Linked DNA regions of Caenorhabditis elegans. The protein of the gene in region 4 purifies or fractionates together with the protein of the main gene of each other region. This does not show direct contact. Each region holds a gene or a part of one and is shown on either strand. Other genes may lie near its edges.

What was found.
Region 1: the proteins of mlt-8 (region 4) and gly-8 fractionate together in Caenorhabditis elegans (co-fractionation; one large-scale study listed by BioGRID). This does not show direct contact.
Region 2: the proteins of mlt-8 (region 4) and eif-2A fractionate together in Caenorhabditis elegans (co-fractionation; one large-scale study listed by BioGRID). This does not show direct contact.
Region 3: the proteins of mlt-8 (region 4) and clec-137 fractionate together in Caenorhabditis elegans (co-fractionation; one large-scale study listed by BioGRID). This does not show direct contact.

Annotation. Positions count from the first base shown.
Region 1 is NC_003281.10:11,622,130-11,628,735, reverse strand, and holds gly-8 (putative N-acetylgalactosaminyltransferase 8), read right to left. Parts: upstream 3,495-6,606; 5' UTR 3,494-3,494; coding exon 3,387-3,493; intron 3,101-3,386; coding exon 3,022-3,100; intron 2,967-3,021; coding exon 2,863-2,966; intron 2,341-2,862; coding exon 2,088-2,340; intron 2,011-2,087; coding exon 1,877-2,010; intron 1,831-1,876; coding exon 1,672-1,830; intron 1,625-1,671; coding exon 1,507-1,624; intron 892-1,506; coding exon 739-891; intron 694-738; coding exon 535-693; 3' UTR 501-534; downstream 1-500. Other genes in the region: Y66A7A.7 (IMV envelope protein), read left to right, coding at 226-350; ceh-91 (Homeobox domain-containing protein), read right to left, coding at 4,845-4,892, 4,948-5,100, 5,803-6,096. UniProt on the Caenorhabditis elegans protein: Potential glycopeptide transferase involved in O-linked oligosaccharide biosynthesis. In contrast to other members of the family, it does not act as a peptide transferase that transfers GalNAc onto serine or threonine residue on peptides that have been tested.
Region 2 is NC_003280.10:10,414,662-10,420,620, reverse strand, and holds eif-2A (Eukaryotic translation initiation factor 2A), read right to left. Parts: upstream 3,816-5,959; 5' UTR 3,785-3,815; coding exon 3,760-3,784; intron 3,704-3,759; coding exon 3,631-3,703; intron 3,579-3,630; coding exon 3,501-3,578; intron 3,447-3,500; coding exon 3,314-3,446; intron 3,261-3,313; coding exon 3,080-3,260; intron 3,008-3,079; coding exon 2,727-3,007; intron 2,674-2,726; coding exon 1,831-2,673; intron 1,783-1,830; coding exon 1,684-1,782; 3' UTR 1,392-1,683; downstream 1-1,391. Other genes in the region: frpr-21 (G-protein coupled receptors family 1 profile domain-containing protein), read left to right, coding at 1-115, 196-321, 1,022-1,197, 1,249-1,391. UniProt on the Caenorhabditis elegans protein: Functions in the early steps of protein synthesis of a small number of specific mRNAs. Acts by directing the binding of methionyl-tRNAi to 40S ribosomal subunits.
Region 3 is NC_003280.10:4,615,983-4,620,488, reverse strand, and holds clec-137 (C-type LECtin), read left to right. Parts: upstream 1-2,398; coding exon 2,399-2,566; intron 2,567-2,618; coding exon 2,619-2,730; intron 2,731-2,785; coding exon 2,786-3,044; intron 3,045-3,095; coding exon 3,096-3,270; 3' UTR 3,271-3,337; downstream 3,338-4,506. Other genes in the region: clec-139 (C-type lectin domain-containing protein), read left to right, coding at 1-75, 120-200, 252-327; clec-138 (C-type LECtin), read left to right, coding at 689-823, 872-983, 1,073-1,328, 1,387-1,561; clec-136 (C-type lectin domain-containing protein), read left to right, coding at 3,956-4,084, 4,139-4,250, 4,308-4,506.
Region 4 is NC_003280.10:568,414-574,705, reverse strand, and holds mlt-8 (uncharacterized protein), read left to right. Parts: upstream 1-2,595; 5' UTR 2,596-2,598; coding exon 2,599-2,772; intron 2,773-3,580; coding exon 3,581-3,819; intron 3,820-4,102; coding exon 4,103-4,298; intron 4,299-5,002; coding exon 5,003-5,200; 3' UTR 5,201-5,426; downstream 5,427-6,292. Other genes in the region: W08F4.5 (Nodule-specific Glycine Rich Peptide), read left to right, coding at 5,909-5,957, 6,145-6,292.

The DNA.
Region 1 (6,606 bases), on a different chromosome or scaffold from region 4:
GCCAAAATTTTTGTCAAAAAATTTGAATTTCCCACTAAATTTTTCTCAGATAATTTGAACTTCCCACCGAAAATTTTCTCAGAAAATTGGAATTTTCCGTCAAAGTTTTGCTGAGAAAATTTGAATTCCCGCAAAATTTTTTATCTGAAATTTCGAACAAATTTTCGTAAACAATTTTTCAAGGCATGGTGCATCAATAAATTCTTAAGTAGTACCATTTTCCAGGCTGTACCGCCGGCTTCTTCTATGGCAAATACAATCAACGATACCAGTATAAAGAGCTGAGCAGCGGGAGCCCCAGCAACTCGACAACCCCATTTCAGAGCCCGATGAAGAGTCAGCGAGTTTGAGATGATGACGTCATCAGATTTGTACAATTTATTAATGTGCCTTTAAACATTTGAATGGGTTTATTTCTATGTGATTCTTATTTCCTCTTTCCTGGTTGTTGATTTTGCTTCTGATTTTGATACTGACTTTTGAAAATAAAAATTTTAAAAAAACTCAAAATATTTATTAAAATACGTTAACTAATTATAGTTCATCATGAACTTTTGGCTCAAGTTCTGGATAAACATTCTCAATAAACCATTTCATATCTTTGCACTTGAGACGATCCTTCACTTGCATTGGCTCTGTCAAATCTCCGAACACCATCTTTGCGCCACGTGGCTTTACAGCGAAGAATTTGGACTAAAAATTGGCGTTTTTTCATTTTCATGACAAAAAACCACAAACCTCATACTCGCCGAGCCACGTTTTGGCAACTCTGACCGCGTTGTACAAAGCGGTATCCATTCCTGGCTTTGAGGTGTACGGGCGGCGCATTCTGAACACGTGGCCGACACGTGAGCAAGGAGCAACTACGACACGTCCGCCGCAGAGCCAAGCCTGGAAAATGGGTGATTTTATTAGCGGCCGACAAGTGACGGGCTCGAGTGGCGAAACTCTGGAAGTGTCGGGCGCGCTGAGTAATTGGCAGTGGCGGAAACCGGTTAAATGTCGGGCGCGCGTATTTTGCCTGCGGCCGACAAATTATGAGTTACGCCATGTGAGCGGGGGTCCCCGGAAGGTGTCGGGCTATGTTTTCTTCTCTTTTTCGGAAAAAAACGTCGGAAAAGGATAAACACTATTTTATACAAAAAATTTTTTCAAGAAATGCGTCTTCCAAATCATTTACCAATTTTTGTATTTAACTCTGACCCTGAAAAAATTGAACAACAAAGAAGTGCAGCCGACGATTTCTGGGTTCCACCGCGGCCCATAAACCGCTAGTTGTCGCACCAGCCGCAGCAGCCGACAAATTAAGAGTTCCGCCACTAAGCTATGTTGAGAGTCGCTAGGTGTCGCGCTTGTCCAACAGCCGACAAATTATGAGTTCCGCCACTAAGCTCTGTTGAGAGCCGCTAGGTGTCGCACACGTCCGACAATTTCTGGTTTCCAAAAAAGCCCGCGATATGTCGGGCGCAACCTCGCCTCCACATAGTTTAAAGGCGCATGACTCACCTTCAACGAGAGCTCAATATTCTCGGATCCCCAAATCTCCATTCCCATATCATATTCTCCCAACTCAACGAAATACTCTTTCCTCATCGCCAGAAGACCTCCTGGCATGGCTGGGGAGCTGAAAAATAACCCGTATTCCCTATTACTAATGCACCATATTCCTACTTGAAAGGCTTCACATTATTCTCGGGCGTCTCAAAGTATTCCCATGGAAGATAGATCCATTTGAACGTGAATCCCCAGTCGAATCCACTCTTGGCAACCATCGATGGAGAATAGTCGAAGGAAACTGGATTGATCAGGTCGACGACTGGCAGGACGATGCTGAAATTTTTTTTTGGTTTTCCAGTAACATTTTGCAAGAAAAAACCTCTTTGGATCCTCTTTAATCGGCTGTAGCAGTGGCTCCAACCATCTCTCGGCCACCTCGCAATGGGAGTCCATGAACACAATAACCTCACCGGTAGCTAATCTTGAAGCATGAACCTTTGCTCGGATAAGACCCTGAAATTTGGATTTTGCAATACACGGAAGGTTCAAATTTTCTGGGAACATTTTTTACCGGATATTCAAATGTTCACCTGTCTATACTCGCTTCTCTTAATGATCAGCTTATCCTCGAGTCCCTTAATCTTCGCGAACTTTTCCAAATGCTTAGTGAGCACGTGATCCTCCTCAGAAGCGTCCTCATAGAGCACAATTTCTTTGAGAAGCGATTTTGGAGTAAATTCGATGATTCCGTTGATCATTCGAAGGATCGTAGAGAGAGCCTCGTTGTGATGAATTACCACCACTGATGTGGAATAACTGGCATCGTACTTTTCTTCTTCGCATCTGAAAAGTTCTCTTTTTTGGGTGATACTTAGGTTCAGGCTTAGGTCAGGCTTAGGCTTAGGATTAGGCTTAGGTTTAGGCTTAGGCATAGGTTTATGCTAAGGCTTAGAACTTGGCTTACGCTTAGGCTAAGGCTTAGGCTTATGCTTGTGTTTATTCTTAGGCTTAGGCTTAGGCTTAGGCGTAGGCTTAGGCTTATGCGTAGGCTTAGTCTTGGGCTTAGTTTTAGGCTTAAGCTTAGGCTTGGGCTTAGGGTTAGGGTTAAGGTTAGGCTTATTCTTAGGCTGAGACTTAGTCTCAGATTTCAAGATGTGTTGTTTTAAGAACTTGTTTTAATCAAATTCTCTGAAAACATAAATCGAAAACGAATATTTAAAATCTATCAGGAAATTTCTGAAATCGTAAAGAATCCCCTCTATTCCAGTAAAACGCGTAGAATTTCTAACAAAAAAAGGAATTTTGAAATTACAAGATTTTTTGGAGTTCTCATCAAAATTTCAATATGAAAATTTATTGACTCACAATTTATGCGCCTGCTTTCCAACATTTCTATTCGGTCCCAGCTTCTCCGAAGATAGAGCATCAAAAGCAAAGCTCTTAATTCCCCATTCGGATTTCTTGGATTCCTGGAAAAATATTTGATGAGTTAGACAAATAACTAATATTTTGAAGTAGACTTACAGCTTCAGTAAGGTTCTCTTTTAAAGTGTGATTGCATTTTCTCTCGGTGAGAGGCTTCAGGTCCAACCAGCCTTCCAAACTGGAAATTTTAAATTTATGAGTGATAACCTATTAATTATAGAAGGTCATAAAAATTTGTCAATTAGTAAAACATTTTTTCCCGCGGAGTTACACGATTTTAAAGTTATCAGTTTGTTTCAAAACTTTAAGCGCGTATAACTTCTTAACTGGATTAGCTACCAAAAAATTCTCAAGTACCAAAATATGGATAAATTTGTGCTTAACATTTTTTTTTAATTAACAACTTTTTGATATCTTCAAAAGCTAATGAAATATAGAGATACATATCTTTAAAGCCAACCAACTTCTCATAAGGGTCCACGTGTTCGCACTTTGGAAGCTTCTCTGCTTCTTCCGCCGCAAATACTATTCCGGCAAAAACAAAAATCGATAGGACGACGTGGCGTCGCATTCTGTAAATTTTATCTTAAAATTTAAGGGTAAAACATGCAATCAATCAGAAGACTTCCGTCTTCTTTTTGAATGAAAAAGTAAAGAAAAATTGGGATGGAAAACAAGAAATCGTTTCGGACAGACTTCTTCTTTTATACACACCTTCTCCGCATTTTCGGAGATGTCTTCTATGTCTCACCTACAAAAACTGGTCCATCTTATATTCCGCCACTTTTTCTCTGCGTCTCTTAGGTTTTGTACTCTGTTGTCGTCTATATAGATGTGGTTATTAACCAATTCATTAGTGGAGAAGGTTCGAGAAGAAAATTTGCCCCATTTATATAATTTAAACAAAAGTTAACTTTCAGCTATTTTCCAGTGGAAAATCTCAAGAAGACTATCCAAATCCAACAAAAAATTATAATATTTTTTGAGTTTGCGCGTCAAATATGATGCATTGAGTGTAGTTGGAGTTTATGAGATTTTTTATAAAATAGAAATATCATAATTTGTGCTCTAAAATCACCCAAACTGCTAATTTGCAGAATTTTCGGGCGAAATACAGAAGAAAAGCCAAGTGGCACCTGGAAATTTAAAATGTTGCGCGTCAAATCTGATGCACTGTGGTCGGTGTTTGCAGAGAACAAATCAATTTCTACGCGCAAACTTGTTCTTTGAGGTTTTGGGCCATTTTATTCGAAAAAAAAAATTCACCATTTTTGTGTTTTTTGTAATCGATATATAAATTAAAAACTTTGAAACTCTAAGAATTTACGCGTCAAATCTGATGTAATCGTTTTCGGTGCGGCTCGCCGACCCCCCTGCATCAGATTTTACGCGCAACTGATTTTAGGGCAGGCTTCTTACATACTATAATAGCTAAAAAATCTAATTCTTCCAATTTTTTTGTCACGTAGCATCATGGGCTCCTGGCTTTCCTCATTGCATTTTTCGCGCTCCATTGACAATCGCCTGCCGGAGACAACGCGTGGGAAAGTCGTGTACTCCACACGGACTAAAATCGAGCCGCGACGCGACACGCAACGCGCCGTAAATCAACCCCGGCCGAGTCAAAATGGCCTAATTCTGGCAAACTCTTACATTTCAAAATGATTTTTGAAATTTTTTCTTAATAAAAAAACAAAATAAAAAGCCAATTTCCTATAAATTGAGGCCAAGGCCTCAAACGGTGTTCCCGATACTAACCTTGTACCCCTTTTTTGGAGTGTTCAGGAGATGTTTATCTTTTCTCTGTTCTGTTGGAAAATATATTGGTTGTCATTTATTTAATCAAAAACCCATTAAATAACAAAACTAGAGCGGTAGAAATTTTTTTTAAAAATTCAAAAAAATTGCCAAAAAAAATTGTGTCAAGAATCCAATGGTTCCAGTTTGATATCTTCTTCGTTGTCGGGCTCCTGAAAAAAAATCAATTTTTTTTCTAGAATCTGAAATTTTCAGGTTTTCACTAACATTCATCTCAAGCCTTGGCATTTTCGCCAGCCTCGGCGGTGGATCATCATCATCCTCGAGTTTCGGAGATTTCCGGCTTTTTTCCTCGCGATTTCGGTAGTAGAAGATCCATCGACCGAGTGTTTCGTATGGAACGTCAAGCTCTAGTGCTAGCTGAAAACTAAGATTTGAAGAAATTTTTTGAGGGAAAAATTTCGAAAAATCGATAAAATATAGATTTTTTAAATTCAAAAATTCTGAAAAAAAAATTGGCGGGAAATTAAAATTTTCAGAGAACAATTTTTGGCGGTAAAACCGAATTTTTCGAAATACAAATTTTGGCGGGAAATTTAAATTTTTTTCATAACATTTTTGGCGGGAAATTCAAAAATTCTGAGAAGAATTTTTTTTGGCGGGGAATTCAAATTTCCTGATAAAAACAAATTTTGCCGGGAAATTCGAATTTTTTGAGGAAACTTTTTTTTGGCGGGAAATTCAAATTTTTTTTTGAAAAAAAAATTTGGCGGGAAATTTAAATTTTCAGAGAAAAATTTTTTTAGCGGGAAATTCAAATTTTCTGAGAAAAATAATTTTGGCGGGGATTTAAAATTTTCTGATAAACAACTTTTGGCGGGCGGGGAATTCAACTTTTTTTTAAAGAAAAAATACGATTTTGCCGGAAAGTTCAAATTTTTTGAGAAAAAAAAATTATTTTGCCGGAAAATTCAAATTTTTTGAGATGAAAACATTTTGGCGGGAAATTCAAATTTTTAGAGAAAAAAAAATATTATTTTGCCGGGAAATTCAAATTTCCAGAGAAAAACAATTTTGGCGGGAAAACTGGGAGTTCGTTTGCGAGAGACCCTCAGTACTGACCAATCGTCGCTTGGCGACCGAGACTACAGTAGTTCCATCAACAATTGTCGTGAACAAATCGATGCTTTCCTGTGTGAGCGCATCAAGCTTATATTCGAATTTCAGCGCTTCTTCCTCGCGTTCCTCGTTCATTTGTTTCAATTTGAACCAATTCATCACTTCTTTCACTGGAGCACGTAGTTCTTTCGCCAAATAACAATATTGCTCATCTGTTGGTTGCGGATTTTGAAGAAATGTCGAATGGAGCCGTTTTTCGTCGTTTACAGAAAATGTTCTCCACGTTTGATCTATTATCTGCAAAATTGTTCCGGTGAAATCTGATGTATTAGATGTGGAATTTGGATGTTTTTTTTCTTCAAAAAATCCTGTAAAATACATATTTTTCATTGATTTTTAAATATTTGAGGCGATTTTACAACTTAAAACTAATATTTTTTTTATTAATATTCAAAACTAATTTGCACGTAAAATATGGTGCATTCATGTGATCCCGAAGAATAGTGCAAACACCGTATTTTACGAGCAAATTTGTTTTAAAATCAGTATTATTATTAAACCGTAAAATAATGCATTTTGGTCAAATCGCCTCAAACAGTTAAAAAAGGTATTTTCAAAAACTCGATAATTTTTGAATTCCCGCGTTTTCCGGCTATATTAAAAGGGATTTTTGCTTCTTTATTTTTTGGAAGACATTTTTGAGAAAATTCGCTGAAAGTATAAACCTGGCCTAAAAATCGATAAAAATCAATCGGAAAAATGTTTTTTTTTTTTGGAAAAAATGCGAAAAAAAATGGTTCAGGTTAT
Region 2 (5,959 bases), 9.8 Mb from region 4:
GTGCTGGAACTACAACAGAAGTGAAAAAAGCGTCATTTGTTCAGGGAAATCTTCCAGAAAACTATGTGCTTCTGCAAGTTGCCGCTGACGTCATCAAGGAATCATTGATCCACAGGTGGGGTTGTCATAAACGTTCTATTAAAGAATTGTCCCAAAATACTCTTTAAAAATTGAATCCCCATCAATAAAGTACAGTTCTGCGGCGGTATCGTCTGAAATCGTGGAAAACCAGAATGTGGATGATATCACTGATTCAGTAGACGTTGAACTTCCACGTCATCGGCCATCAATTTTTAACACTTTCGTACTGGCACTCAGGGAGTGAGTCACGGAATGCGTAATAAATTCCGGAATATATCGTAGCAAATCCACTTCTAACTTCTTCTATTCACTACTGTGTAATTTTATCATATTATACGTTCATCGCTTGCAGATGGTCAGAAAACGCGCCCCATGGTTCCAAATGGATAAAGAATTCGAAAATTTAATAATAAGTATTATGGGGACGTAAAAAAATTGGGCCTCGTTAGGTATTTTGGGGAAAACCGTAAATTCGAACGTTTTCCAATAGTGTATCCGGTTTGGCTTTTTAATAATATGTGTTCCGTTATTTTTAATGATTAAAAAAATGTAATGATTTTTTAAAGATGCATGAAAACTTTCATTAAGTTGTGAATTTTATTTTTTTTTTAAATTTCAACATACCTAAACTATTAAAAACAACGGAAAACATACCAAAAAATACGAAAAAATGATTGAAAACGTTTGAATTAACGATTTTCCGGCCAAATACCTAACGAGACCCATAGCTTGGGGGCGGGGCGTTCTCCATTGACCGTGGAGCGCGCTAATATGTCGATCAGTTTTTTTCTGCGGTCCTATAATAATATTTATGTGAAACCAAGAGCTGGCGCTTTGAACTTCTACATATTCGATGTTAAAACATGTCAACTTCTTCTAGAAGCACATTTGAGCTCACTGGAGCTCATTTCTTTTCCAAAATTAATTATTTTTGTTCCAGATCATCCCGAAGTAAGCGATCACAGCTTCGAAATGCAATTTACACGATGTTGGCTATTGTCACTTCATATTTGGTTTGTAATGGCGTTCATCTTTTTCTGACGATCCTTGAGAGGTTCGATCCATCTTATCTTTACGAATCCACGGATCGAATGCAGTCGAGCACATTTTATATCGGTTAGTTTTTAAAAACTTCTATTATAATAATAAAATACTTTTCCATTTCAGTTTTGTCTGATACTGTCTCCATCTGCTATATGGCATCCTCGGCAATTCGTATTTTCATCTACGCCAAGTGTAATCCAAAGTTGCGACAGGAGATCACCGACTACATCAAACGAGAGAAGAGCATCGAGACGAACAGCTCGTAACTTCCTTCATTTCATCACTTTTTTGTTACTCTTATTACGGGAGTTCATATTATGACAATAATAATTAAAGAAATAAACAATCATAATAAGAGATTGGGGAGAGAAAAAGATAGGCTAAAAGAATATGGAAGACAATTGATAAATAGATATTCAAAACAACTGGGGAAAAATTTCAGGTTTCACTCGAATGTATAAAGTCTAAAACTCATAGGAAACAGGTGAGTCAATCGGGAGAAAAGAGAAACAAAAAAATGATAATCGAGGGAAAAACACAGAAAAAAAGAACACAATTTTAAATGGTCAGTTTGGAGAGCTCTGAGAGATATTCGTTTTCACGTTGGATCTTCTCCATTTGGTTTGGTTGAAGTTGATCGCCATTCGCCACTCGTTGCTGGAAATTATTTGTTTGAAAATATTTTTGAAACTTCGCACAACTCACCTTGAGAACTTTAATCTCCTCAACCTTCTTTTTGAGTTGGAATGCTTTCCTTTCTTGTTCCGATTGCTGTGGTCGGAATGGTTGTGGAGCATTTCCGTTTCCATTAGCACGTGGCTGTGCAGGCCGTTGATTCTGGTTTCCTGGCGTAGGTGCTGCAGCTGATGGTGGTCCAGCTGATCCTCCACCTCCTAGCGGTTTCCTGAGATGAGGTGGAATGTAGGCACCAGCCTGACGAACTGCTCCTGCTGGAACATTATTCAGTGGATGAGATGCATCCTTCTTTCGAATTGGCAAGCCAGCGGCCATTTTGTCCGTCTTGGTTAGCTCTTTGATGGCAAACTTGTTGTATCCAGTCATTGGACGCCAGCGAACTTCCCACAGCTCTTTTGGAGACTCGAAGTGAGTTTCAGCAAGCATTCGACCCGTGTAATGCCAGAAGCGGTAACTGTTATCTATACGAAGCCTTGGAGCAGTGGTGCATGTAACAAAATGTTGACCATCTGGAGCCCAATCGAAAAGAGTTGTATTTGGCACCTCGATCGAAATAATCTCCTTTTTCGTCTCCACATCCCAAAACTCCATTTTTCCCTTCGCGATATTTCCAAATCCACAAATCAGAACAATATTTCCAAATGCATTATAGAAAACATCGTTTCGTGGACCTTCAATCGTGTCGAAAATTGGAACTCCTCTCGGATTATAGAATGTCACTTTGGCTGGCATATAACCATAGCAAACAGCGAATTCTCGGCCGTTGGGATTCCACTTTGCAGCGTAAATTGGACCTTTCTTCTCCAAAGGAACAACTACAGACTCTCCTGATTGAATGTTGATAAGGTATAGCTGAAATTAATTAAATAATTATTGGGGAGATTTGAGAAAATTTTAAAACGAACACTTTGCTCTCCATAATAAGATTGATTTGTCTTATCCACTTCAACAGAAGCAAGAATGAGAAGTGATTGACCACGCTGATTCCATGTCATTACGGCTTTGTCAGATTTGAAGAACGTACGATTGCCGACGACTGGGAACGATTCGGAGACTCGATGAACTCGCACGCGAGCTGGAGTGGATCCAACGGCAGGGACATAGACAGCCACGTGATTCGGAGCAGGACCTGGACTCAATGCGAAGTTGGTCGCACCCTTCTCGACAAGCTTGTGGTCGTAACGGTCTGAAAAGATAAGTTTTATGATAACGGTCGTAATAATAATATCAATTTTCAGAAAATTCATGAAATTCATACCGAAAGACATGTTTGTATAAAAGAAGACTTCACTGCCAACCATTCTTGCAGCCAACGACTCATCATCCGAAAACTGAGGCTCCCACGATGCTTCTTTTGGAGCTGAGAACGTTGATACGTGCTTTCCATCCGCAAGACTGTAGACTCGCACATTTGGTTCTGGCTTTTGGTTCTCTGCAGTCTAAAGTTGAAAAAAAGGTTTTCAAACTGAATTAAATAAAAAATTATTCAAACCTTTGGTCCGTAAACTGCCCATGGCTCGAATGTGAGCAGGAAATTGTCTTTTGGTGAGAACAAGATCTTCCGAGTTCTTTTCAGCTCCACACAAAGAATCTCCTTGTTTGTTGCGATCTCGAATACCCGTGTTCTAAAAAAAAAACATTATTTAACTATATATTCCTCTCCTGAAACTTCTTCTTACACTTGATTATCGCAATAGGCGAACAGCTGTCCGTTGTTGCTGTAAGCGAACACATTGCAAGCGACGTCTCTCGAGGTTCTAAAAAATACATTTAATTATTGATTCCTGATAATTGTTCTGAATTACGTACTTATTCTGCTCAAAAACTGTCACCGCGTCTTTGCCCAGCCCGCGCTTCAGGTAGAAGCCTTCACTTGATCGAACTGAAACAAATTTCGCAATTTTACGGCCTATTCAAAGCTGTCTAAAGTAAACTCACCGGCGTACACCAGGTTATCACCCATTTTATTGATCTGAATCAATGTTTGAGAAAGTCTGAAAAAAGAAAATGTCTTAAATTTCTCAGGAAGTAGGAGAAAATTAGAAAAGCTCGAGGAAATGACGAAAAAATTCGAATCACGAGATGGCGTCGTATTTGGCGCCGGCATACATTTGGAAATGCAGAATTTCGCGCACCGTATCCAGAATAAATTATTCTAGCGGGAAAAGATTAAATAAAATTGAATATTGGGAGAAACAGTTAAAAAAAAAAGAAATATTCCTCGAAAAATAAAAAATAATTCGATTTTTTAATTCGATGCAGTTTTAGTGCATCGTTTGCGTCACGGTGTTTGCACACAAAGTACAGTAGGCAGAAATAGTTTACAAACTTGCAAAGACTTTGTTTAATCGATTAATTGCATAATATTAAATTGCAGAGTTAAATTTAAATTTAAACTAAAGCTACACAATATATAAATATTTCCGGAATTTCGTCGTATTTCGATCGACAAAAATCTGAGTATTTATGGAAGCCACTGTCTTTTCTCCAAATATTTCGAATTTCATTGCTACGCTGAATGAAAATAAGAAATTGAATAGAGACAACGCGTAGGCGGAATTGAAATTGGTCTCTTGAAAATTTATTTCGAGAAGTTATTTTCAAGGATGAAAAAAACAATATTACCCAGGCACTGAATTTGGCTTTTTTCGCCAAAAAAAACACGGTACCCGGTCTCGAAGCGACAATTTTTTTAATGCAAAAGGGTGTGCGTCTTTAAAGAGTACTGTAATTTCAAAAACAAATTTTGCTGTGGAATTTTCATCGATTTTTTAACATTTATGTGTTTTTGAATTATAAAAAAGTTTTTTTGTAAATAATTAAATGTATTTACAACGAAAAACTATAAAAAATCGAGGAGAATTCTAGAGTAACGAAAGTTTGTAATTATAGTACTCTTTTGAGGTCATAATCGGAAAGTAGACCCCTTTTAATTCAAAAAAACTCGAATATAACATTATCGAGCGTTAGAAAATACGGTCCCCGGTCTTGCCACGCGCTCTCTTGGTAAAATACAAACGGATCTGCGCCTTTAAAGAGTACTGTAATTTAAAATTTTTGTTGCTGCGGATTTTTCATCGATTTTTCATAGTTTCTCGTTAAAAAATTTTCATAGAAATTTATAAAAAACTAATTTCAAACAAATTAATTGTTACAAATCGCAAGAAAAACTACGGAAAATTAATTAAAATTTGGATTTTCGTGGTATTTCGAGACACGATAGATTGTTATATTTGCAACGAAATAGTAGATGTGCCATATTGAGAAGCATCCGATTTACGGTAATTCTGCTTTTTCTGAAAATATATGTGCTTCTTTGTAAGCGTTCCCTCGCCAACGGCAGAATTGAATTCTTACTGCTCACCTACTCATTTTCAGTTTACTCTTTACCAAGTCTTTCTAAAAGTATAAGACCATGATCCTTTTCTAATCTTATACTAAGTCAGTACCGGCTTACCTACTTCTTCCGAAACTTCCGTATTTTTCAAGTCTCAAAACCTCGAAAAACTGTTCAAAAAATTCGTTACTTGCTCATCCCAGGTGTTTAATCTATGATAACAACACGTGGATTATCGTAAGAGTACAGTCTCTCATCTGAGTGTCTCATCATCACGAGGATGTCTTAAAAGTTGATCATTTCCTATTCAGATACATCAGGAAGCGTCCAAGTACATGAAATGAACGAATTATAGTTGGCGGCCAATCCGGAAATATTAGGTTTATATTAATAGATTTTGTGATTGGTACGTTGTGATTTTTGGTTGCATTAATATATGTAATTTAAACCCTCTCGAAAAACCAAATAGCCACATTTTTCTGGGCAAAAATTCCCGCATTTTTTGTAGGTCAAACCGAAATGGGGCAGCCTGACACTATGTGGAAACATTGTTTTGCAAGAATTTTTTGCAAGAATTTCAGATATTCAGACGATTTTCATTTCAATGCAAAGTCCTCTTTGACGCTAGTCATCCTTCATGATCCTTGGAATAATGTTTTTATTCTCTGAAAACTTTTACATGTTTTGAAGCTTTTATGCTCTTATCCTTTCACAAGACCAGACTTTCTGAAGTCTGTTGTCAGATTATATAAGATCAGACTTTGGGGCAAAGTGGGTGTAATAGACCATTGGAACATATTT
Region 3 (4,506 bases), 4.0 Mb from region 4:
AGCGTTCATTCTCACAAAGTGGTCTGGAGAACCGCCAACTTCATCAGACAAGTATCAGGAGAAGGGGGACTCTACGTAAGGAACCCAGTGGGATAAAAGCTTCATGTTCTAGTTTTCAGAGAAATTTTCACAATCGCTGAATGTCTATCTCTACATAATCTCCAGGCAATCAAGAATACTGGAAATTTGAAGGATTTTTTGTGAGTTTTTTTTTTGCAGGATTTTCAAACCCAAAACTAAAAAAATTTCAGGTGCGGCGAAGAACCAGACAAACAAGTCGGCGAGGTGCCATTCTTCGGAGTTCTGTGTGGATGTGCTCCAGTATAAAATTATTTAACTAGTGCCAAATGTATAAACAATTTTTGAATTTTTTGAAGATTTTTCAGAGAAATCTGTCCTCGAGGCACAATATAAATTGTTCTTACAATGTATGCCTAGTTTGAAAATGTATATCATGACTCGATTTTTTTTGTGTTATAAAAAATTTTCCCTCTAGAAAAAGTTGAAAAATAGGTAGAAAAATAAAATGCGTCATTTCCGCCCAGCCCCCGAGATACCGTATCATTTTGATGTATTCGGGGAATAATGGTTCCGCAGAAACGGAATCATTGAAGGGATGTACAGCTTTTTTATAGCTTTTGACTAGTACAAAAGCATACTGAAAGCTTCTTCTTGAACTCTTCATAACATGTTAGTTTTATTCTTACTATTCTTGGTTGTTCCGGCGGTTTCTGCAAAGGATCCAAGATGCCCAAAAAACTTTACTTTTGTCAAAAGAACACTAACTTTTAAGAATAATTTTACAAAGGGGTGGTGCTTGGGGGTACGTTATTGATAGAGACAGTACCCAGTTTTAAAATACACTTTCAAGATTTTCAATGGAACGGATGTGGGAAATCGTGACCGAGCCCGCTCAGTCTGTCTCTATCATAACGCTTCGCTGAGCAATCCAGAAAATTCACATGAACTTGAGATTGTTTCTGGTAAGTTGATCATGTTTTTTTTTAAAGACATGTCTTCAATTCAAAATCGCTAGGAAAAATATGCTTCTAAATGTGTAATTAATTTTTAGACGTTATTCGCGCACGGAACATTTCCCTCCCGATTGCACTCGACGGACAACTCTCTCCAAGATGCAAGGCCCTTATTTTCAGAGGCGAACAGAGCCAACAATATTTTGACCAAAGAACAGAGGAAGGAGATTGCAATATTAACAATCATTTGTTTGTATATGATGATATCAATACAGATACTTTATTTATCCGTTCCAAACTAGGTACTTCGGCTGGAACTAATGGAGGATACTCCAGTCAGGAGGACGGAGTAAAGTAAGTGTATGAAAATTTCTAGATTCAACGTCAAACAAGTCTAGAATTCAATTTACAGATTTCGTTTCACCAGAGATTGTAACGCATTAACAGATGCATACTATTACTTTTCTAATGGAACACATTTCTATGCGGTAGATGGACGAACTGAATTGCTCGGATGCTTTGGGGAAAAGGATAAGCAAAATAAACACGAATATAGTAGTGTTCTTTGTGGAAGATTCCCTCTCTGAGTTAATTGATCAGAAAAGACAGTTGTTAATAAATATTTTGGAGTTGTTGTTCGAATTCATCACTTGTGATTATATCAGAAAATACCAATTTTGCAACAAACATCAGTCGAGGATATGCATAATTTTCATAATAAGTATTTTTTGATAGCTAAAGATTGGAGCTAATCATATTTCAAAATTTACAGAGACAGGACTATTTTAAAAGTAAACTACCCTGTAACAAATCAAGAGTTTCGAAGCTTGAAATCAAAAAAAAACTTATTCTTGTAAATCATTTTATATTCTACCTCGGAAGCCGACAAAAGCTTGGTTTTAAAAAATCTAGCTTCAAAGTCTTGTTTTCAACCACAAATGTTTGTGTACATAAATTTTTGGATAGGTATCATAACAAGCAAGAGGGCCTTATGTTAGTCATAGGCTTGCACTCAGTTGCTCAATTTTGACGGCTAATAACTAGGTTGTGTTTTGTTTTACCAAAAATTATAAGCTGACAAAGAATGTGTTACAAATTTCTCTACAGTTTTGGTGTTAAATGTTTTTGATAAAAGGGCTGAAAATGAGGGTACTTTTGTTAGAATCTTTATTAGATCAGATATTTTTTTGTTTCAAAGCGCATGGTTTCAATATTCTTGACAACTTCTATCAACCTACGTGTTATATAAGAATTTCTTTGAATGAAATCATCCAACCTGATGAAGAAATATAATGCGTCGTTTCCGCTATCCAGCCCCGAGATACAGTATCATTTTGATGTATTCGGGGAATAATGGCTCCGCAGAATCGGAAACGCTACAGGGGGCGAACAACTGTTTTATAGCTTTTGACTAGTACAAAAGCATGCTGAAAGCCTTCTATGAAGTTCAGTATAAAATGTTAGTTCTATTCCTACTATTTTTGGCAGTCCCAGAATTTTCTGCGAAGGATCCAAGATGCCCGGGAAACTTTACGTATTTCAAGAGAACACCGACGGCAAAAAATAACTTTACAAAGGGATGGTGCTTGGGGGTAAGTTGTTCATATCAATGACACCTAAATAGTTTTAAAATGATATTTCAAGATTTTCAATGAAACGGATCTGGGAAATCGCGACCGAGCCCGTTCAGTATGTATCTATTACAATGCGTCGTTGAGTATTCCAGAAAATTCACACGAACTCGAAGTGATTTCTAGTAAGTTTTTGAGGATTTTTTTATTGCTGCATGCGGAAAAATGTAAAATTTCCAGAGACTGCTAGCTTGAGAAACATTTCCGTACCAATCGCTCTTGATGGACAACTCTCTCCAAGATGCAAATTCGCAATTTACAAAGGACAAGTAAAGGGTGCAAAACGATTTAATCAAACTTCTGAAGAAGGAATTTGCAATATTAAATATGAATTGTTCATATATGATGATATTAATACGGATACTTCATTCATTCGCACAAAGCTAGGTGTTTCGGCAGGATCAAACGTAAGAAGTGTACAAGCTGATGATGATATCGAGTAAGTTTTGAAAATCGACTTTCCTATTTGCATCCAACATTTCATTTTCAGGTATCGCAGTACAGCAGATTGTACCGTTTTGGAAAAAGGATCGTATCACTATTCTAATGGAACACTAAAAGATGGGCACACTAATTTGATGGATTGTATGGGACAGCTAGCTGGCTCCAAGAGGCTACCAGAAAAAAATGTCACCGCCGTTCTTTGTGGCCGATTGCCGTTCTAAGTAAATGTATTCTATCATTTCTGGAAAGATTAATTTTCAATATTTAATAAATATTATATTTCCGAAATCTTTCTGATATTTCTTATTACCTTAGCTGATTGAAAAGATAAGGTACACCCAATTTGTTTCCGCAAGTGAACTTCAGGTTATTCTTAGGCGACGAAAATCCCTGTGCGGGTTTACAATTAAATCATTTTCGCAACGAAACATTTCCTTTTACAGAGTTTTGACAAGTGTGTATACCATTTTTGTAAACTAAAAGTCAATTAATTCATCTTAACTTTCGTCTCGAACTTTTCGTTTTTAAGTTCCATCTTGTTGATAATACGGCCTAAAAATTGTAAAAAATTTCTCAAAGCTTCCTATTTTCTGTGTCAAGAAAAATCGGAGAGCTCTACATTATCTCTTTTTTGGCTTCCGGAAAACTTTTAGAGTAAATTTATAATGTATAATTTATGATAAACCTCAAGAAAATAGGTACAACAAGCATCTGCTACGTCCAAATCAAAATGTTTAGAAGAATAAATACTACGGTAGAGCATTTTGTGGGTGTTGTTGAACATCACGCTTTTGTTGAAACGATCAAATGCTGTCGGAAAATAATGGCTCCGCATGGCTTAGTCACAATTTTATCGATTTCAATAGGTACAAAACCCCGCCGAAACTTTTCAAAACTGACAGAAAAATGTTCGTTTTCTTTTTGCTATTTTTGACTGCGGTTTTCGCAAAGGATCCACAATGCCCAGAAGGGTTTTCTCATGTCAAGAGAGTCCCAACTGCAAGGAACAATCATACAAAGGACTGGTGTTTGGGCGTAAGTTCCAAGTTTTGGGTTTTGTGTTCATAATGCTTTATGACCATATTTCAGGTTTTCCAATTCAAGAACATGGGAAACCGAGACCGAGCTCGATCATTTTGCAGTTATGTGAACGCTTCATTGACCATTCCAGAAAATGAGCACGAGATTCAAGTGTTTTCTGGTAGGGATATTTTTCAATAAAAACATTTTCAGTGTTGTAATCTTCAAAAACTTTCAGAAATCGCCCGAGCTCATGGAATTGAAGCTCCTTATGCTGTTGACGGTCAAATTTCTCCAAAATGCAACGGTCGTATTAATAAAGTCGAAATCATACTTCGTCATCGATTCAACAGTACAGAAGAAAAAGGAGATTGTAATATCAAGAATAATCTATTTTTGTTCGATGATGTCAATAGTGACACTACATTCATGCTGAG
Region 4 (6,292 bases):
CAAAATTCAAGCCTACGTAACTCCGCAACTGTCTCAGCAATTAGAAAAAAATATTTCAACTACTAGTATACTAAACTGTTTGGAATTTTTTGATCTACACTTTCCAAATTTCACTTGAAATTAAACCCTGAACGGGCAAATTGTTTCAAAATTCAAACCTTCGTAAATCTTCAATGAAATAAGAAATTCAAAAACTTTTCTTGATCTACATACAACTTGTGAATAATTATTTTCCGGTGTCTCCGGGATTTCCCTTTGAAATTTCAATTCAGAAATTTGCATATTCCTCAGCATGCTACCATTCCCCATACATACATTCAATTGATGAATGGATGTAATTGTTATCCCTGTATATATTGTGATCGTCTCAGAGACACATCATCTTAGTTGCCCTTGAGTGATCTGCGCGCGCGCGAGCGGGTGTACGCGTCTCTTCGAATGGGGGCCGTGACCTACATTCATTTTCAATGTCAGTTTACCTTCCACCCCCATCAAGTATTCCGTACATCATCAACCGGAGAAAAGGAAGGTTTCACTCAATGTATATCGATTTACTTCCGGATTTTTTATTCCTATTTTTAGTTGCTATTTAGCCTAAATTTTTTCTAAATTTGGGCCTGCCAGCGTAAACTTTTAAGTTTGAAGTGTACGTAGACAATTAAGTTATCTAATAGATTCAATCTTTCAACTTACTAAAAACTCGTATTCTAAAGTTTGGTAGATCCATGTTTTTACTATGCGAATATCAGCTTATGAGATCTGCCAGAAAACCTAAGCCAAAGCCTAAGGCTAAGCCAAAAACCAAACCTAAGCCTAATCCTAGGCCTAAGCCTAAGCCTAGGCCTAAGCCTAGGCCTAAGCCTAAACCTAAGCCTAAGCCTAAGCCTAAACCTAACCTATGCCTAAACCTATGCTAAACCTAAGCCTAATCCTAGGCCTAAGCCTAAGCCTAGGCCTAATCCTAGGCCTAAGCCTAGGCCTAATCCTAGGCCTAAGCCTAGGCCTAATCCTAGGCCTAAGCCTAGGCCTAAGCCTAAACCTAAGCCTAAGCCTATGCCTAAGCCTAACCTAAACCTAAACCTATGCCTAAACCTATGCTAAACCTAAGCCTGAACCATTTAGTTTATAGCCTAGCAGTCCCAAACCCTATTTAAATTCAAATATAAAGTGCAAGTGGTTCCACATTTAAACTTTTGACTGCCCCCCTCAAAAATATCACTTTCCTTTACGATCCGTAAAATCCCAAAGAGGCGTGTCCTAGTGTTAATGATCTTTGAATCACTTTCAATTCCCCCCCAGACCGTCCATTTCCAGTGACCAGCCCTCCTAAGCCAACAGCAACTGCATTATTCTGGTTTTAGGCCTTTTTCCAAGGGATATGACGTTGTCAAGTGTGTTTCATGTTTTGGCTTTAGGGGTCCAGGTACATGAGTCATTAGCGAATAGTGAAAGTTTGGTTGTGGGTATAAAAGAAATCAGTTCTAGGTGTTCAAATAGGTTATTTGGTTTTTTTAGCACCAAGTCATCAATCTACGTCTTTGAATTGATTTATATAGTTTATAAATGTAATTAGGTCTGCTAAACTTTTATAGCCTAGCAGACCATTTTTCAGAGTTTTGCTCCAACTCGAAATTTAAACCGTTAGGTGTCGGCCGCTTTATCGAACAGTTTTCAACTATGAAATAAAACTTTAGACACCCTTAATGACCTAAAATAACTGCAAAATTTTTTTTTCAAAGTTTTCGAAACTTTTTAGAATTTTTCAATCTTGCAAAAATTGAAAAAAAAACGGTCGAATTATTTTTGAATCCCCGCGCAAATGAGTGACGTCATTTTCTACATTTTCGCCTTTTTTAGGCCAATTTATTTTCAGGTTATCAAGTTTTCAAAAATTTGTAAGTTGAAAAACAGTGTTTTAAATTAACTATAGAAGACAAATCTGAAAAAAAAAGTGGTATATTGAGCCAGAAAACGCAAAAATGTCAAAAATAACGTCACTATTTTGGGCGGTAATTCAAACTTCATTCGGCCGTTTCTTTTTCGAAAAAAAAATCATAAAAAATTTAGAAAATTTTTTAAAAAATTTTAACGGTTCTATTTGGTACATTGGGACTGTATTCTGTCATTTAGTGCAAAAAAACCCACAGACGCTACTCCACCTTTAAGAAAAAAAGGAAAGTTCAAGAGTCCTCAGAACACGTTCCCTCTACCCCTCACCAGTTTCCTGCCACAGTATGAATGTAGTGGGATATGATTTGTTTCATATATCATTTTCTCTAAATAATACTGGATAAGAAGTGAGTATCTCTATCCCCACATCTCTGTCTCCCTTTCTGATAATAATCCCGTTCTTCATCTCCTTTTTCTTCTTCTCCAATTGTTCTCCCCGCCATGGAAGTTTTCTACTTCATCCTGTATTTGTATCCCCTTTTCTTAAGCGTTAACATTGAATATCAATATTATTTATTGTAAAAAATGCACAGTTTTGCTGTAATATTTTTTTTTGAAATTTGGAAAAAATAACAAATTTTTTTTTTCAAATTAAATTCAAAAAATTTCAAAAAAAAAACAAAAATTTAAAATCAAATTTCTCAGGTAATGGTCCTTCTGCTTCTGCTCCTTGCCGTCGGCACCGTAGTCGCCCAAAATCCACTGACAAAGGCATGGAACGAGGCAGTGCCCGGAGTTCAGCCATTCTGGGAGAAATATCAGACCGGACCACATGGAGTCGTTATCAGAGGATGGCAGTTTTCCAGATGTGCCAGTGAGCAGGTACTGCACTTAGAAATGTTCAACTGGAAATTTAGAGTATTTTGTTAGTTGACAACTTTTTTGTCGGAGATATTTGAAGAAAGTTAGGGAGGTTTCAAATTTTGGATTTTTTTTGGAAAAAAACAAGAATCTATCAATAGAGCGAATTTGCAACCAAAAATTTTATAAAATTCCACAAATTGCAAGTGCGCCCCAATGACAATTTTTTTTGAAAAAAAAATCCCAATTTTTCAAAAGTGTTAGTTTTAGTAAATCTAAAGTTTACACGTGGTGTCAGTGTGTCTCAATCCTGCTTGATCTACGTAGATCTACAAAAAACGCGGGAGAAGCGACGCAGAGTTTTCAACTGACGTCACATTTTTTTGGAAAAAAATTTTCCGCATTTTTGTAGATCAAACCGTAATGCGACCTGGCACCACGTCAGTTTATACGATAAACTTTAAAAGAAATTTAAAAAACGCAGATGTTGCAAACTCGCTCCACCTAGAAATTTACGGTTTTTTCATTAGCGTTTGATCTACAAAAAATGCGGGATTATTTTGCCCAGAAAAATGTGACGTCAGCACGTCCTTAGAAATGCAAAATCAGTTGGGAAGTTTGAGTCTAATTTCCCGCATTTTTTGTAGATCAAATCGAAATGGGAAATTCTGACATCATGTGAAGCTTAGGGATTTGTTTTTAAATTTCAACAACAAAAAATTGTAAAGTTTTTTTTTGGAATATAAAAATTTTCAAATTTTCAAAAAAAAAAAAATTTCACAAATTTTCTCCCCTTCCCACAATATTCCATAATTCCCGAAAATTTCAGTGGACAAACTACGTGGTAAACGTGTCAAACATTGTCATCTGGCCAGACTATCCACGTTTCCCGGGACCAATCTTTTTCAATGTTACGATGGACGTAAGCGAAGATCTCCCACTGGACAAAGTTGAAATGGACCTGGAAGTACGTCACGCCGTGACCAATAAGCAAGGATCCAAGGGATGGCAGGTGATTCCATGTCAGGGATGGAATATTATTGATGGTTGTGATGGAGTCGGCTCGTGGTTAGTTGGGAAACTTGTGGGAAAATTAAATTCAAAATTTCAAAATTTGAAATTGCTTTTAAAATAAGCGGGGTTTCTCCGGACACGCCCTAAAAATGGGCGGAGCCTATAATGGCGTGGCTTGCACCACCCCGCCCATTTTAACTATAATGTAACTATTGTACATCAAAACTGTCCAAAAATTTCCAGTTTTGGAAAATTTTAGGAACGTTGTTTATTGGATCACTGCACAAAATGTTAGTACTAATTTAGTAAAAAATGCTGAAATGCTCCAAATTTACAGCCGCTACTGTGACATGCTCGACAAATGTAATGAAGCCGTTTCGGGAGCCCACAAATACGTAAAAGACCGTAAAGCCAACGATTTCCTGAAACAGAACAAGTTGTGCCCACCACCAAAGGGGCACTGGACTATGACTTTCTCTAAAGTTTTCAGCTCTGAAGATCTTCCAAAATCCTTCTTTGGACCACTTCAATCGGTTGGTTTTTTTTTTTTGAAAGTTTATAGTTTATAGTTTGTAGTCTGCTAGACCCTGTTTTAAGAAAAAATTCTTGAAACAAATTTTTTGTGTAAATAATATTTTTTTCAAAAAATTAAGAATTATTATCCTGAAAAATTGTTCTCAAAATTTATCAGAAAAATGATTTCCCGCAGTTTTTGACTGGAGCACACTTGCGGATGGACGGTAATTCGAATTTTTGTGTGAAAAAATATTTTCAATAGTTTTTAAAAATTATTTTCAGTGCGATCTGCGGGAAATTTGAATTTTTTTCAATTTTAATGTTTTTTTTACAAATGTGCAACAAGGTGTGTTTTCATGTGATGTCAGAGAGTCCCATTTCGGTTTGATATACGTCGATCTACAAAATGCGCGGGAGAGTTGAGACGCAGAATTTTCAATCTGATTTGACATGATTAAGAACGTGTTGATGTCACACTTTTTGGGCAAAAAATTCCCGCATTTTTGTAGATCAAACCGTTATGAACAGCCTGAAACCACGTGTGTTTTTCAATTTGCAAAAAAAACTCGAGGAACTAGAGGAATTTTGGAGCTTTGTAGTAAATTAGTCTACAGAAAATTTGCAGTACTTTTCAGCAAAAACAATTTCGAAAAAAAATTCCAAAAAATTATTTTTATTAATTTTTCCTTTAAAAAATCCTCCAAACCCTTTCATTTTTTAGAATGAATACTGGCTAACATTCTCCTTCACTGACGGAAAAGACAAGAAGCTGGGATGTGCCCGTTTGTGGGTGGATGTATGCAAGTACCACCTTCAGGACAAGTCCCAAAAGTGCCTCCGTGACCCGAATGCATTCAAGAACTTTATCAATGAAATTTCATCGCAAGCTGAACATATTCGCTCCAGAAATGGAAAATAAATTGTTTAAAATTTTGAAATTTTTCTCGGAGAAAATTATTTTTCCGAAAACCAAAAAACCACTTCAATTTCCAAAATTTCCGATCTACACTCTGTGGGTATATGCAATTGTGTCTAGTAGTTTCCTAATATTACCTTTTAACATAATTTATTGATTGATTTTTGTTTCGGCCCCCACGACATGTCCATTTTTCTCAATGCTTTCATGTTGATTTTAATGAATTTTTTTTTTGAAAAATTTAATGTGAAAAACGCGCATAATTATCCAGATTAAAAACATGAAAATAATTTTAATTATATTTTTTTATTTTTTTTGCGAGATTTCTATTTACTTTTTTTAAAACAAATTGTTTAAATTCTTATTTTCCTGAAAATAGTTAATTATATTTTAATTTAGAATAATCAATTCAAATACAATATAAAATAGAAGCTGCTGTTTCAGAAAATTCACCAAAAAAATGTTCAACATAAAAAAAATTTTTAGGAATGAAAAAAATTTACCAATTTTCTTATTTGTATCAAAATTTAAATTTTTACTTGAATTTTGAATTTTTACACCGTCACTATGCAAAACTCAAGCTTTACTGTAATTCTTCATTACTTTCCGCTCGGAAACTAGAAAAAAAAATCTTTTTGACCTTGGTTATCATATGGTTGCTGGTGATATAAAAGACTGTTGTTGTAAACTTATCGATTTTTTGTGGGCAAAATGATTTATAATATTCTTTTGTTCTTATTGCTGGTTTTTGTTCATTTCGGTGAGTTTTTTTATTAGATAAAAAATTGGAAAATTTTTTTGGAAATTGTATTTTAAAAAAAAATTCAAATCTTTTTGTAAATAAATGAAAACTAAAATTTTGTAATTTTGCTTTGAATACATGCAATTATAATATTAAAAGTTGGAGAACAACCTAGAAACAATTTCGAAAAAAAAAAAATTTCCAGCAAATTCCCGAACTCTCACCGACCTCATCTGCAAGCTTAATCCATCTCGATGTGACTCCTTCCGGTCCAATCACAGAGCCAAAATCTCAGAGCACACGGGCTCCGCCGCTCCTCTGGGAGCTCCATCACTAGAGGAATTCCAGAGGTG